2 linked regions of the Danio rerio genome follow. The protein of the gene in region 2 purifies or fractionates together with the protein of the main gene of each other region. This does not show direct contact. Links are inferred from orthologs where the notes say so. Each region holds a gene or a part of one and is shown on either strand. Other genes may lie near its edges.

Region 1 (8,754 bases), on a different chromosome or scaffold from region 2:
ACATAACCTGTCAGTGAACTATGAGGGCAAAAAATAAAACAAATAAAATAACCGTTCATTAATCGTAATCAAGTTAAAATGTTCAATTCATTGAGATTTTGATTTTAGGCCAAATTGCCCAGCACTAGTAAAAATATTGTTATTTTAATTGTTATCAATATTTCATTATATTGCCATTTAAAAACTAAATTAATTTATATGATGGGAAAATATGTGTACATGTTCTGCTAGCCTGTGTCATGTGATCATTTAAAAATTACAGCTGTGGAAAAAAATATTTTTGTGCAATAAAAAACAAATTAATCCTTTTTTTAAATTATTTAAATAGGCCTGTCATAAATATTATTGTTTTCCATATTCTTAAATTGTTTTAAATATAAAATATCTTGTGTTACCTTTTGTTTATTATGCATGTCCTTCAGGAGGAAAAAAAACAGGTAATTTTTAAGAGATATCACAGAATTGTTGCCATGGTCTACAGATTATTGAGCTAAAGCTTGAATTAAATTATAAATCAAATCGCAATATGTCAAAAAAAAAAAAAAATCACAATTAGATATTTTTTCCAAATCGCAAAGCCCTAGTGCATATTCAGGCTTATTTGTTGGTACTATAAACTAATGTAGAGGTGTAAGTGAAAAATACAGAGTCGATGTTTGACAATAACATTACAGGTGATCAAACCAGTCACGATACTACCTTGTGAATTATTTAGTGTGTATATCCAAAAACATGTCAAAACACACTTAGCCCAAAGTACTCCATGCTTAAGACAATAAGGCATGTTGTAGTAAACACAAAATAAGACTCTAATAACAAAATACCTAGTGTTTAAACTGCTAACCAGAAATGTGTGTGTGCATGTATTAATACTTTGATAACCAATGCAGAAAAACACTCAATAGATGAACAAATAATTGTTTCAAATATCCAGGTTTTGCACCACATAGATAGATAGATAGATAGATAGATAGATAGATAGATAGATAGATAGATAGATAGATAGATAGATAGATAGATAGATAAGGAAGGGGGAGGTAAGACATTCATTTGAGAGTCTTATTGTCAAAGCCTAAGCCTCAGATGTTCACTGAAACAAGTGTCTTTAATTGGCTGAAAGTCTTTAATAATCACATGGTACAGTCTGTAGCATGTTCTCCTTCAAGAGGAGAAATATGGAGCTTTAGTATGAGCATCGACTTATGGGGCCAACCAAATTGTCCTGGTATATTTATTTAGTCTATATAAATGTAAACTATATTTAATAATAATAATAATGAAATTTAACAAATTATGTAATTTTTTCTTAATAAATAGCAAAATTACAAATGACAATTTCTTTCTAAAGAAAAAAAAACACAGCATGAAAAACACAAATGTATAAAACATAAAGATGCATTATAGTATTGACAATAAAAATAATATAGGACCTAACTTTACATTTTCACGACTTTTCAACATTTGTGTCATTTTTTTCCTATATTAGGTTGCCAAAGATCTTGGAAAAAGAGTTTCTAATCTAAAAATGACAAATTGTTAAGTGAAAAAACTAAAATATTAAATACTATTTGAGTTTACATTTTGATTTTTAGCTCATTTAGTCTTGTAAGTTAATGTTACTATTAATATATTCAACACAAATTAGCTAGTTTTATGGCCTTTTAATACCCAAATGAAGCCATGGCTGACTAGTATATAGTATATCAGTCTTTGTACAGTATATTTCATTCTAAATTGAAAATGACCAAATATTAAGATAACAATTAAAATATATGAAAATATAAAAAAGTTTTTTAATTGTCTATTATTATTATTATAAAATAATAATTAAAGATAAAGATAACTTCATTACAACATCATGGCATAAATACACTTCAGGCCTGGTTTGAATTCATTTACACTACAACTGGCACTAATATAGCAATACTTCAATCTATTGTATGTAAAAAAAAAAAAAAAAAATCTGACAGCAGTTTATGCCAAGACAAGGAGTTACACGTAACTAGTAATATCAGTTAACAGCTATAACCGGCTGTCAAGTCATGCTCCACCTGTTACAAGGCCAGTCCTGGAATAAACTCTGGAATAACAAACCGCAAAGTTAATATTAAATGTTAACCCAGCTTAACCTCCAATCTCGGAAAACCTCGTCGTGCCAGCGCCACCTCGTCGTTAAACTAAAACTTTCACGCTGAACTGCTAGAGAACACACCGGACTGATATACAGTAATAGTCAAGTCTGATAAATTTAACAAATATTACATTTAACAGGTCCCAACCCGGGTTCCCCCATCCCCCATGAGCCCCGTAGACTGATAGCCGATTAGCTCACTAGCAACGGCCGCCACAAGAACAGCCGTAACGTTCAAACGACACGCGACATTTCTGCTGCACTGCGGCTGTGCGAACGTTTCAGATCACGGGTTTATTACAAAAAAGACCAAGGAATTTAAGAAGACCCACCTGTAACCGCCGGTGTTACCTTCAGTGTGTGACAGCAGCTGTACCCCTCACAGGAGAGGCAAGGGGGTCATCTGACCGAATCACTCTACCCACAATGCTTTGCGCGCGAGCCTTGACAACCAGGATAAGAAAAGGAAAAGATTCGGGCGTTTACGCCGCTCTAATAAATGATTCTTTTTTTTTTTTATTTAAACTGTAGCTGAAGTGTGGACTGTTAGATGTCGTGGTTAGTTATTAATGTTACACATATTATGTATAATATACAATATAAATATATAATATTGTGTATTAAATAATAACAACACCAATGTATGGAGGACCATACATGCAAAAACAATGAATAAATATGCAAACAAATAAAATAATAAATCCGCAAGTTCCTGCATAAACAAAACAATAAATAAATATGCAAATAAATAAATATGTATACTTTTTTTTATAAATAATTAAATATATTACACGGATATGTGGTAATAAGAAAATGCTAAACTGTAGATTTCCCCCCTTTCTCACCGCAATACTAATTATTTCTATATTTATTTATGCAGAAATCTGTAGAATTATCTATCTATATATATATATATATATATATATATATATATATATATATATATATATATATATATATATATATATATATATATATATATATATATATATATAATTTATTTATTGTTTTATTTATGCAGGAATTTGTATATTTATTCATTTATCTAAATATTTATTTATTTATTGTTTTATTTATGGAGGAATTTGTGCATTTATTTATAGTATTGTTATTATTACAATTTTATGGAGGGCGAAACCTACAAAAACAATAAATAAATAAATACGCAAATGTATAAATAAAGGAGTAAATAAATCCATAGATTTCTGCATAAATAAATATATAAATAGTTAATAGTGCAGGCAAGCAAATAATTAAATAAATTACAGGAGGGGAATATAAAAATGCTACACTGAAAGTTTTTTTCTAATAAACGTTTGAGAGAGGGGATGAATAAACTTTCAGTTTAGCATTTTCTTTTTTTCCCGTAATTTATATAATTATTTGCATGCTCGTTCTATTTAAATATTTATATATGCAAAAACAATTGTGGATTTTTTATATACATTTATTTATATTCGTATTATATATTATTTATATTCATTTATTAATTTGCAAATGTTGTTTATTTAATGTTTTATTTATGCAATAATTTATGGATTTATTTATTCATTTATTTATATATTTGCATATTAATTTATGTAATGTTTTATTTATGAAGAATTTATTTATTTATTTACTAATTTATTTATATATTTTATCATTTATGTTTGCATTTTAATCTATTTAGTGTTTTTGCAGGTTTCAAAGGTTCAAAGATAATTAGGACACTGAAATGTCTCAAATAAATTTAAAGTGAGAATGAAATATGTTTACAAGCATTTTTTTACATTATTTTTACTAATCACTTCTGTTTAAATCAGATTTCAGATTTTTATTCATATTTCTCTATTCTCTATTTGATATTCACTCTTATTTTACATTTTCATACTGCGATTAGTGTTTTTGCAGTTTAAAAAAAATCTTACACTTTGCTAATTTCCATGGCTGAAGGGAGCTAAAATTAATCAAAATTTCATAAACATTATGCCGCCCAGTATGATGCGCAAGTAAAATAATCAACTAGCAACATGGATCTATAAATAGCCTCAGCGCTCAACCCCCATTTTCTATCCGGGACTTTTATTTTGAAACGCAGACACACATCTTTCAGACCAAATGCGCCGTTGAGCGGTAGGGCCTATTTAGGGCTTTCTAAAGTTAGAATTAAAACCGTCGGGACTAAGGAAAAACATGGCCCTTTAGCTACACGCAGTTATGAATGTTTGATGGTTATTTGCGTGTTTTATTAGGCAGGAATCGTGCTGTTTTGTAGGCAGCTCGTCGTTTTCGCGGCCGTTGCGGAGAGGGATTGTTATGACGTTCTCTTTGTCTCGCGCTGCACAAACCCGAGACCATATTTATCTCTGTAAGAGCCTTTTTTAAACATCCCGTCGAATCAAGCTACTCCTAACGACCTAATTCTCTCTAGCTGTCGCCGATCACTGGGATTGAAGCATGTCGTTGCACGGTAAACGAAAAGAGATCTACAAATACGAGGCGCCATGGACCGTCTATGCTATGAACTGGAGCGTCAGACCCGACAAGCGCTTTCGGCTCGCGCTCGGCAGCTTCGTCGAGGAGTACAACAACAAGGTAAACACCTGCTGCCACACAACACTATGCTTTATGTCTGATCTTATGACACACGCTATCATTTCACATAGTGAAGTGTGTAGCCTAAAAACATGTAAGGTGCAGGTTATTCCACAGTGTTGGAATTTTAACGCGCAAATGTATGACAGACACTAATAATTGTATATTTTAAGCGACTGTTATTTTGTATCTTGTATTTAGCGTGTGCGAATTAAAGGTTACGAATAGGTTCGTAGAGGACAAAATGTCTGTCTAAAATTCATAATAGAAGTATATCTAGGGCTTTCAAAACCCTTTCACTGACAGATTTTTCTGTACCACCCGCACCAGTCCTGATGATAATTGTCAGAAAATGCAATAATTTTAGACATTTCATTTAATCATTACCACTGTTTTTTTGTTGTTGTTTTTTTGTGGGAAAATAAATATAGACTCTTTTTTTATCATCAGTCCCATGTCAGTGACCAGAAGAATTCATTTAAATACAGCCATTTTATTGTGCTTTATCACATAAAAAAATCTACCACTCACATGTACACTTCACAGCATATACTTACAAACACTATTCATCCCTCCACACACGTAGTTATGAATACATAATATTATATAAATATCATATCGAATCACAATATTATATAATATAAATAACAATGATAAGCACTGGACTTTTTTACTCTATATTGATCTAAGAGCCAATCACACAGCAGAAATGTGCCACAATGGGAATCTGAAAGTTTGATGATATTAGAGCTGTACCATTTTTTCGGCTACTGAAATCGCTGTGCGATTAATCGAATTGCAATTCGAAACGTTGCAACAAGTTAATCGCAAGAGGCTGCGATATGAAGTATTATTTAGCTTCCCCCGCTGAAACTGTCGTAGTAGCTTGACAGTCTTACTAGCCAATTGAGTGAGCACACTTTCATTCTGCCTAAACAGAATTGCACAACCAAACTATGCCGAAAACCCTCAATAAAAAGGAAACAAACAGCAAAATGCAGGAAGGTGGGAATATGGCATCTGCAACTGAAGTATTAATAGAAGAATTCATATCAAAGAAAAACAGCATGTCGTGATATGGGAATATTTTAGTTTCAGTCACAGACACGGAACAAACACAGGTCATTTTGAAGAGATGTCGCAGAGTTGTTGCCACAACTTACAAATTATTGAGCTGAATCTTGACTACAAAATTAAATCAAAAATAAAATCGCAATGTCTGTCAAAAAAATTGCAATTGGGTATTTTCCCCAAATCGCACAACTCTAACTGAAAATTTATCAGCTGAAAATATGTTATGCCATTTAATGGACCCTCTAATATTTTGTGGCTTCAGTCATTGTTGGGGTACTCTTTTAAATCTGGAAGCATTATCAACTTGTATCGTAAAATATATATTGTCATCGTTTAATATTGAAAATAACTATTGAGGTTGCATTTGTGCCATATCGTCCAGCCCTAATTTAATCAGCAGTCTTCAAAGCAGAAAATGGAAGGTAAATATATTTGGTTTTTTTTAGATATTTGCTCCACAGGTAACCGAAAAACACATTTTTGGCACAACATATGGTGCTTGCAGTCACAACCAAAAATGATCACAAAAATAAAGTGGGAAAATATATAATTGTCTATAAAAATGAAAAAGGTGCTACTTTCATGCTGTCAGAAACTTATGACATCATGCTATTTGTTTTGTGATGTTCAGGTCCAGCTGGTTGGTCTTGAGGAGGAGAGCTCAGAGTTTGTATGCAGAAACACTTTTGATCATCCGTACCCCACCACCAAGATCATGTGGATCCCAGACACCAAAGGCGTCTATCCAGACCTACTGGCAACCAGTGGAGACTATCTGCGCATATGGAGGGTATGCAGGAGGAGCACGTGCACAGTTTCTGAAGTGCCCCTATTATGCAATATTAAAGTTTGCTCTTTTTGTTTTGGAGGTCTTCTATAATAAGTTCATCCTAGATCAAGAATACACCTGTCATGTCATAATATGCAAAGCAGTATTTTGTCTTACATGAAGCACCTGAATCAGTCTGTTCAAAGATTCAATCTCTCTAAACCCCTTCTTTCCAAGAGTCTACCTTGTTCTGATTAGTCAAATGGCTTATTCTGTTTACAACAGTGTACTTTTGAATTTAAATCATATATGACCATATCTGAATTTCAGCTCTTGTATACACACTGATAAAACAATAGTGTCAGTTCTACCATATCCCTTGCAAATTCCTAGTTTTTTTTTTTTTGGAAGTGATTGCATAGTGGATCAAGTCTTCTCAACATGGCTGCAGCACAAACTAAACTGTTCCAGGCCTCATACTACAGCTTTAAAGGGTCCGAGTAAACTGAGTGTTTGTTGACACTTAATGAAGACTGTAGGCTGGCGTTATGTTAATCTCTTACAAGCCAGTGGAGCTTTGTTCAGGATATATCAGGGATTACTGTTGTTCACGATAAGACCAGGAATGTGTATTAAGAGATAAATGGAGTCAATTATGATTTGATTCCAGCTTGAAACAATCAGGCATACTTTAGCTTTAAAGATGCCATATAAGGAAAACCTAGATATACATGGCCATAGCTGAATAAAAAGTGTCCAGTACATGGAAATGATATATCATGAGCCTCAAACACCATTTGTTTCAAATAAACTTTTTCACATCTTCATTTGAAAATATTGAACAAGAATCCAGACAACCGGTTTAATTTAAGGTTCCCACTTTTACATTCATCAGTTAAACATAACATTTCAAAAGTTATGCGCATCTTGGCGTTTCCATCAACTGATTTTTTTTATGCGCATATGCAAAAAGCATACAAATAGGTAGGTGGAAATGTAAGGCTAAGGTGAGAAATACAGCTTTGTCTTTAAAAAAAGGGTAGAAGACCGACAGAAACTCAAAGTTTAGAGAATAAATCAGCTCCTGACCAGGTTAGGTTCACAGAGTCAGTTACCGTGGTAACTTACTCTGAGTTAAAGTTACCTCTCTTTCAAAAACTGGCTTGACTTACCTTGCTTTCTCCAGCTTGACAAGCTTGCCATTTTGAAATTGAAAACACAGAGTTTCTCTCATTTCAGGGTTAATACTCTGAGTTTTTTCTTAACCTCCTTTCTGAAACGGGCCCCAGGTTATGACGAGCTGCTGCGTTATTATTCTCGACCATTCCAAATATGGTCAAAAACATGGTTGTCGTTCTAGGGATATTTTCTAGAGTTATAATTAAGCCTATTATAAAAAGGTAAAACTTACCTAAGCCTCATAGCTACTAGTGTTGTCAAAATATTGATACATTAATACTGAAACAATTCAAATGTTACAATCTTTCTTTTTGCTTAGTATCGATATTGGCTTTGCTTTCTTGCACTCTCTACTCACCAGCAGGGAGATGAACAATTAATAATAATATTAAGGTTTTAACACTAGTTTTAATCAGAAAATAAGCTGAGATTGCACTAATTTAGTTTCTTTTTTGTAATTTATTGAATTTTGGACTTAAGGACTGCTGACATACCTGGTATGAGCATTATATGGTAATTATTTCCCCCTTTTTACTTCATTTGAAAACCTTTAATGTAAAAGAATTTTTTCCATGTGAATGGCATCAAATATTGATATTTTTTTAAGATATTGTATCGAAGTTGGAAATTCCAGTATCGTGACAACACTAATAGCTACTATATCGATTTCAAAGAACAATTTAACTTCTTTGCAATCTATGGCACCTTTAATACTGTGACCATGAAACTCATTGTGCATGAATGAAGTAAGTGAACTGGATGTATGTTGTTGTTGTTGTCAGGTGAATGATACAGAGACCCGTCTGGAGTGTCTGCTGAATAATAATAAGAACTCTGATTTCTGTGCACCCCTCACCTCATTTGACTGGAATGAAGTGGACCCCAACCTCCTGGGTAAGGGTTTTGGGAAGAATTTAGTTTTGTGCATTTGTATGTTTGCCTTCAGTTTCAAAGCCCATCAGTTTGTCAATGTATGTTTATTTTCTGTTTTTCAGGGACATCTAGTATTGACACCACTTGTACAATC
Region 2 (7,975 bases):
TATAAAATAATATAGTTGTATTTTAAAAGTGGGTCAAGACAGGCCAAATTTACGTGGCTCACATATACATTTTTAATATCTGGGCCAAATACTACCATTTATATCTGGCCCAAGTCGTGTGTGCAGCCATAAAAACGATGCCACCTCTGCGAAACCCGGGCCATGTTTGGCCCACAGGCTGTATGCCAGCACCGGAAGAATGCCTGCTGTGCCAGCTTTATGCCAAATCTGGGCCAGAGCTCTTTGCTACTTGGCTAAAATATATTTTAAATGTGGGTCAAGAGTGACCAAACTTACGTGGCCCACATATCAGTTTTTTTTTTACATCTGGGCCAAATCCTACATTTCAAATCTGGCCCCGGTCTTTTGTGCAACCCTAAGGATGGTGCCACCTCTGCGAAACCCGGGCCATGTTTGGCTCATATGCTGTATGCCAGCGCCGGAAAAATGCCTGCTGTATCAGCTTTTTGCCAAATCTTGGCCGGAATTCTTTGCTACTTGGGTAAGATATATTTTAAATGTGGGTCAAGATAGGCCAAACTTATGTGGCCCACATATAATTTTTTTTATCATCTGAGCCAAATACTACATTTGATATCTCGCCAAAGTCTTTTGTGCAGCCTTAAAGATGGCACCACCTCTGCGAAACCCAGGTCATGTTTGGCCCACTTGCTGTATTCCAGTGCCGGATGAACGCCTGCTATGTCAGCTTTATGCAAAATCTGGGCCAAATTTCATTGCTACTTGGGTGCAAGCGCAAACAAACACACAACAATGGTGGCGCATGTGCCAGTGCTTGACTGTTTGCTAATGCCACATCAGCAAGAAGGTTTTTGGTGTGATTTTCAACACATTTTTAAACATATTAGTTTAATATCTAATTCCAAATACCAAATTTATTTTGTCTTTGCTATGACAACAGAGCATAATATTTTAATAGCTATTTTGCAAGATACTACACTGTATAAAAACATGACAACAAATGCTTTTACGTTACTTTGATGTATTTTAATAAGTTAATCAGGTTTCAAGTAAATTTTGTTTAGTTATAAAAAGTTTAACGTAATATTTTAAGTCAGTTTGACTGATTTAAGTTGAAATGACTAGAAAAGTGCATTTGATTCAGCTAAAAACAATGTGAAGCGCAGTTTACGATGTAGTATTCAGCTTACAGTAAATTGCAAAATAAAGGCTTAACTAGGTTAATTAGGTTAACGAAGCAAGTCAACGGACAACAGTGGTTTGTTCTGTAGCCAATCATTTTTAAGGAGGCAAATAATATTGACCTTAAAAGTAATTGTTTTCAAAATACTGTGGAAATTTACATTGCCCTCTTAAAAACCACTTGGGATATATCTGATAAAAATTATGAAAATTTCACAGGGCGACTAATCATTTTGCCTTCAACTGTACATTGAATGTCCAATAGTACATCTGTCCCCCATTCTGAACACAGATATTCAGCAGGATTTTTTTTCTGTGTCTTTCTGTGCTGGCCAAATTTGTATGCAGGTCCAAATCAGACGGAGCTTTGAATAGTTTGGTGTTTTGTGCAGCAGCAGGTTTGAGTCTTAGTCTGAGTACAGTTCAGAGGATTAAATACAAAAGATGAATACAGTGAGACGACAGATGGTGCTTGAGCCCGCCACATGGACTTTAAAAAAAAAAAAAGACCCAGCCACACAACGGGCCCCAAAAAAACACACATCCAGCGGGCCGGACAGAGTGTGGCCTTTAATTGACTGGCTGGCAGCTACAGTACAGTGAAGATCAGGCGTGCGGCACATTCACCACATGCTGGACTAATTCATGGACAAACACAAAACCCAATGAGAGAGCGAGAAAAAGACGGAGGGAGGGAGACACGGCCAAGCGAGAGGCTGCAGTAATTTATTCACTGTTTCTGTCTTGGTGAAGAGAGCTCTTTCACTCTCAAACAGCCTGCTAGCCTGCACCTGGCCTTGCCAATTATGACCCACACACACACACACACTTTCACACACTGGTATGCACACTTAGCCACTCACATGCTTTCAGAACGAGTGCGACAGAGAAATCCACAAGCTCAAAATGTGTGGAAACCCAAGAGATGAGCGCTTCTAAAATGATTTCGATACATAAGTTTTGTAATTCTATTTCTGCTTATATGGCATGAATTGCACTCACTGCACTGTGTTATGCTTATGTCAACAAACAGACGCTCTTGTGAATCAGTTGGAGGGGACTTTCAGTCAGTACAGACATGTGGTCTGACTTCAGAAGGCTTTTTGGGTTTTGCAATGCCGAAAATTTGGGGTGGAATTGTGGCATGGAGACATTAAGATTGAATCAGCTGTATAACTGAATGTCATGGCGCATTTGTAAAAGTTTGGTTTTGCTTGAAGATTATGTGGCAGAAATATAGGCCCATTACTATTGTACAGGAGAAGTTGCTTCTTAAAAGTAGTAATAATCATGATCTTAGTAATATTGCTTTTAAAATATTAAAACATTAAGTATTAATACACTTTATATAATAAAAATAACAAAATAAAGTAATAATTACACAGTTCCTGCTCTGTTTTTAAACTTTTGCAGGCATAAGAAGGAATTTAGAAAAATAAAAAGCCACTGTAAAATGTTGCAAATATACAAAACTTAAATGATTTCATTTTAATTTCTTCAATTAATTAGAAAAAAAAATACTTTTTGATGATTTAAATTAAATTTTAAATATTAAAAGGAGAAATTCAAACCAAAATAATAATAATTTGGGAAAATAAAATGGATTTCATTGGTTCTTAGTGATATTAGCATATTATATAAATGTATTTACTTTTTATTAAAAAATGTAGGCCTACTGGAACCATTTTCCACAATCTAGAGAAAAAAAAAATCCCTAATTTATTAAATAACAGTGTGCAAAAGTATGAGATTTGAAGCTTGGCTCAAAGGTGAATATTAAATAATCAAAAAAGTGAGCAAAAGTTTATTTTTCTTTAAATGTTCGAGTAATCAAATAATCTCTAAAAAAATATGTTTTTTTAAATAATAGATTTAACTATTATAATAAAATATAAAATCTAGTGGTGGGCTGTTATCGTTGTTAACATGCTGCATTAACGCGAGACTTTTATTGCGCAATAAAAAAAATATCGCCGTTAATCTATTCTCAAAGTGGGGTTGGAAGCTGGGTCTATTCTTTGCAAGTTATGATGACTTTCACCTTCATATTTTAAAGCGGTATGTATACCTGACCGGTGAGCTGTCTGACAAAAAAGTGCCATTCTGAATCAAATTAGCAAGATTCCTGACATTTCATTCATACCCCCGTGACAAACTGGGGTATTAGACGCAAATAAGGAGTAAGGACTGGTGAGAGTGTTATGGCATTTAATAACACAGGCCAAATGGAAAGAAAAAAACTTTTGCATTTCGCGATGTGTGTGTGTGTGTGTGTGTGTGTGTGTGCGCCTGTGCATCTCTGTGTGTGTTTGTGTGGTCCTTTACTGACATCCGCCTATGTGAATCTTGTCGGATAATATAGCTAAAAGTCCTACATGACGGTAATCTTTTGATCGTGGTGTTTACTTCAATAAAGCCACTAATATCTGCATACTCCACATGTCCTAATTCCATTTCTGTTTAGTTTACATGTTTACATGGTAAACTCTTAATCTGTGTATTGTTTTAATCATATTCAAGCATATTCAGCCATACTCAGTGTTTGACATACCGTCAGGGCTCTGTGAACTTGCCTTTGCGAAGCAGCATTTTCTGTATGTACGTACATCAAAAGCAAGTATGAAATCGCTGTGTGGAGCTTATGTAGGCCTAAAGTTCAAAATTAATGTTTAATTGAATAAAGAGTTAGTAAACACAAGTACATCTTATTGAACATCATTTATTTTCATCATTAATTATCATAGTAGAACAGTTTCTCAAGCAGTTTGTGATGCATTTTGGACATAGAAGATGAGTCCCTGGTCAAATACACCATCTGGCTTGAGAACCCCGTTCTCAAATACCAATTATTTGGGTAGCACACATATTCTGAATGACTACGGCAGAATTCAAATAAGCCATTTTAATCTAGAGTAAAAAAATATAATAAAACCTATAATAAAATCACTATAAAATGTCCACAAAAACATGGGGCAACAATGCTTTTAAAAGCATTTATTAGTACTAAAATTACTAGAATACAATAATAATATAATAATAATAATTACTTGAGGTTCAAATAAACATAACAGAATGCTTTCTGAAGGACAATAGTACACAGAAAAGTTTTTAACCCAAGCTCATTCTGAAAACGTACCCCTATATACATTTGTGAGGCGCGGCAAATATGTCCCAGGAGCTACGTTTTTGATGCAGTTTTTGTTTTCACGAATCCACCAGAGGCTGCTGTGTACTGGCATTTTCATGTAAATCCATCAGAGCCCGCTGTGTACTGCTGTTCACGTGTAAATCCACCAGAGGCCTTTGTTGACTGACTGACTCCTCCTTCCCTCAACCCAACCGACAGTTTTAAAAAGCAATCCAGAAAAAGAAAATCCCTCGCTTGATTTTTACCATATTTTTATATTTCACCACATTTTCACCCTGTTATTTACTTGTTTATTTACATTTTTTGTGTCTGTTTTTGTCCTTCCTGCTTTCTGAAACCGTTCCTCACCAGACTTGAACCCCGTCATTGTGGTCAATTTCTCTCAGCACCGCCGACATACATTGCGAGCTAACTGGACAAATTAGTAACAGCGGGACAGCCGTCCACATGAAGGTAAGAGGTCAGCTGGTAAGCGCAAAAAGGACTGATGTCATACCGCCCCATTGTGCTCGCTCTAAAAATGAAATGCAGCCATACGTACTTCTGGCTACATAATTTGCGATCTCCACAAATTTATATAGGACTACGTTTTCAGAATGAGCCTGTGTTGAAAGTTTTTACTCTTATTTTTGATTAAGAAATAGCAGCCACAATCTAACTAAACCCACAACTTTTGAATAATAAAATACAAATAGACCCAAGCTAATGGGTGCTGGAGGAAATGGCTCTGCTATAGATGTAATAATTGAATCCACGAAAGAAAAAAGTAGAAGACAAATAACAGTGGTGAGTGTTCCTGTGCTGAGCTGAGAGCAGGTGAGAAAGAGCTCACCTGTGATTGGCTGAAAGCAGCATGGTTGCCATTGAAGGGAGATTTGCGTTCCTTGTCGCGATGGTGACGACTGCTGTGTTTACTGCGCTGGAGCTGCTGCCTCAGCTTCACAATCTGAAACATGCAGAGAAAGACTGTCAGGACACACATTATTCCTCACTTCAAGTCAACTTTCAAAGATAAAAACAGCACAAGATTTTAAAAATGTACATTCAGATGGTCATTATTTCAAAATAAACCTCTTTGTAGTGATAACAAAGAGATTACAGTATGATAATTACTGTACGTTACGTCTTATTGAATGCTAGCAGTGGATGAGTCAGAGTCCAGGGTCAGATGGGATTGTTGATTGTCTTTTTGGCATTACATTCCACACACACACAAATAACCACCCCAACCTTCTCTTCACCCCAAACACATCCTTTTAAAAACATTTATGATCGATATTCTTTCCCTTATAAACATCAAGGTCTGTTGGACACACTTTTAGCTTAGCTTATCTTAGCTTAGCATAAATGATTGAATTAGATTAGACCATCAACATCTCGCAAAAAAAAATGTTTCGATAAATCTCAAATATGAATGGATTGTACACCCTAAACAAAAAAGACTGCTATCATTTTACTCTTCACTTGTTACAAACATTTCTGTGTTTTTCTATTGCACAAAGGAAGATAGTCTAAAGAAAGCTGAAAACCTGTAACCATTGACTTCCATAGTATCTGTTTTTCCTACTATGGATGTCAATGGTTACAGGTTTTCAGCTTTGTTTAGAATATCATCTTTTGTGTTCAACAGAAGTAAGACACTCATAAAGGTTTAAAACCACTGCAGGGCCAGTAAATGATGACAGAACGTTTAGTTTAGAGTCAATTGTCCTTTACAAGCTTGACTCTTCTGTATATAGTGCAGACAGAAAATAAAATAAAAATATTTGATCAATTTTCTTGGTGATATGGATATGAACTTTCCTCTCATTCAAGCGTAAAAATCAATGAACTTCTGCTGCTGTACCATGGCGGGAGCAGATAATACGCAACAGTGCTGCGTACCTGTACCTGCTGCAGCCATGGTATGACAAAAAAGTGCTAATGGTCTAATCAGATTCAATGATTTATGCTAAGCTATGCTAAAGTAGAAGTTGATTAATATAGAGCAATTTAATTGTACAATTAAATTTTTCCAGTAATTAAAATAACAAAATCTATATTTTTCTTTATGTGGTTAAGGGTTTTACATGGTTTTTACTCTTAATGGGCATGTTTCAGTGCATTCTGGGTTACCATCTTGTCTATGCTGGAATAGGCAGTTCACCTATAATAAACAATAGAAGCCTTTGCTTTGTTTCACTTGAAACAGATCTCATAACACGAGGGGCCTCCGATTAGACACAGCCATGGCAAATGGTCCTGAACTTTGAGTTTGAACGCATGAGTTTCCTGATGTGTATTGTGGGTGCAAACTCACCAAGAGGGAGCTTAATTCTCTATAATTGAATTATGGAGTATAAATAAGTAGGATTACATTTGTGTGTAAGATTCATTCATTCATTTTCTTTTCAGGTTAGTCGCTTTATTAATCTGGGGTCACCACAGCGGAATGAACCGCCAACTTATCCATGTTTTACACAGAGGATGCCCTTCCAGCTGCAACCTAGTTCTAGAAAACTTTCATACGCTCTCACATTTACACACATTACGGCCAATTAAGTTTATTCAATTCACCTATACCCCACTGTGGTGGACTGTGGGGGAAACCGGAGCACCCTGACGAAACCAGGCTCAAACCAGGCATGGAACAATAACCGTTTTCAATTTATACTGTGGTTTGAAAAAGTCAAGGTTTTAAAACTGACAAAATGTTCTGTAATACCGTTCCTAAGTTATGTGTAAGATTTTTTTTATTTGTGTTTTTTAGGGCAAAAGTATCTTTAGTAGAAAAAATGTACAAAGATGCCATTTTTAATTGTAAAGAAATCTGAATATTTAAAACTACAGACGATAGCAGAAGTCAGTGATTTATATTAATTATTTAGCCCGACATGTTTACTGTTCCAGAATATTATAAATGTTTCTCAAAATAAAATATATTGTGTTCAAAGGGGAAAAAAAGTTTTAGTTTTTTCAGTGTGTCCACAGTGTTTTAAAAAAATCTTAATGTCTCAATTTCAAAAACTAAATTTAAAGCCCTTAAAAAGTATTAAATTTACTGAAATATGCTGTTGTGGGTCTTAAATACTTTTAAATAGGTCTTTCACTAATTGTCCATGTAAAGCTATGGCCAAACTGTAAAACCAACTTTTAATTTTAATCGGGCAAATAAAAAAAAAATTATTAGTGTTTTGCCAAGTGAAAGTCTGAAATTTCATTCATAAAGGTCTTAAAAGGTCTTTAATTTGATGTGATGAAACCTGCAGAAGCCCTGTTTTTACCCACAGATTTAAAAAGAATATATTATAGAGCAGTAATCATAATACCATGATACAGTGAAACCGTGGTATTTTTATCCAAAGTAATCATACAGTCAGAATCTTATACCGGCCCATGCCTAGCTCAAATTAGCAACCTTCTTGTTGTGATGCGATCGTACTAATCACTGAGCCACCGTGTCGCCATTTTGGTAAGATCATAATCAAAAATATTGGCTTATGAAAGATTTTGAAATTAAAGAGCGTCATTATGTGAAAAGAATCTTGCAGGTAAAGATTGTTGTGAATTGAGTCAGATCTGATTGCCTTTTGTGTGAAATAAACACAATAATGTTGTAAATAATCAGATTCTTCACAGATCAAGTGTTTTGATTCATTACACCTCCATGCATCATCAAAATCC

Evidence for each region.
Region 1: the proteins of fam117bb (region 2) and dcaf7 purify together in Homo sapiens (affinity purification with mass spectrometry; 3 studies listed by BioGRID and IntAct, with this or other methods). This does not show direct contact. The link is inferred for Danio rerio from reciprocal best matches to the Homo sapiens genes FAM117B and DCAF7.

Annotation. Positions count from the first base shown.
Region 1 is NC_133178.1:30,503,817-30,512,570, forward strand, and holds the start of dcaf7 (DDB1- and CUL4-associated factor 7), read left to right. Parts: upstream 1-4,423; 5' UTR 4,424-4,567; coding exon 4,568-4,705; intron 4,706-6,410; coding exon 6,411-6,569; intron 6,570-8,509; coding exon 8,510-8,621; intron 8,622-8,722; coding exon 8,723-8,754. UniProt on the Homo sapiens protein: Involved in craniofacial development. Acts upstream of the EDN1 pathway and is required for formation of the upper jaw equivalent, the palatoquadrate. The activity required for EDN1 pathway function differs between the first and second arches.
Region 2 is NC_133184.1:13,327,299-13,335,273, reverse strand, and holds part of fam117bb (protein FAM117B), read right to left. Parts: intron 5,259-7,975; coding exon 5,145-5,258; intron 2,675-5,144; exon of another isoform or gene 587-2,674; intron 340-586; exon of another isoform or gene 1-339.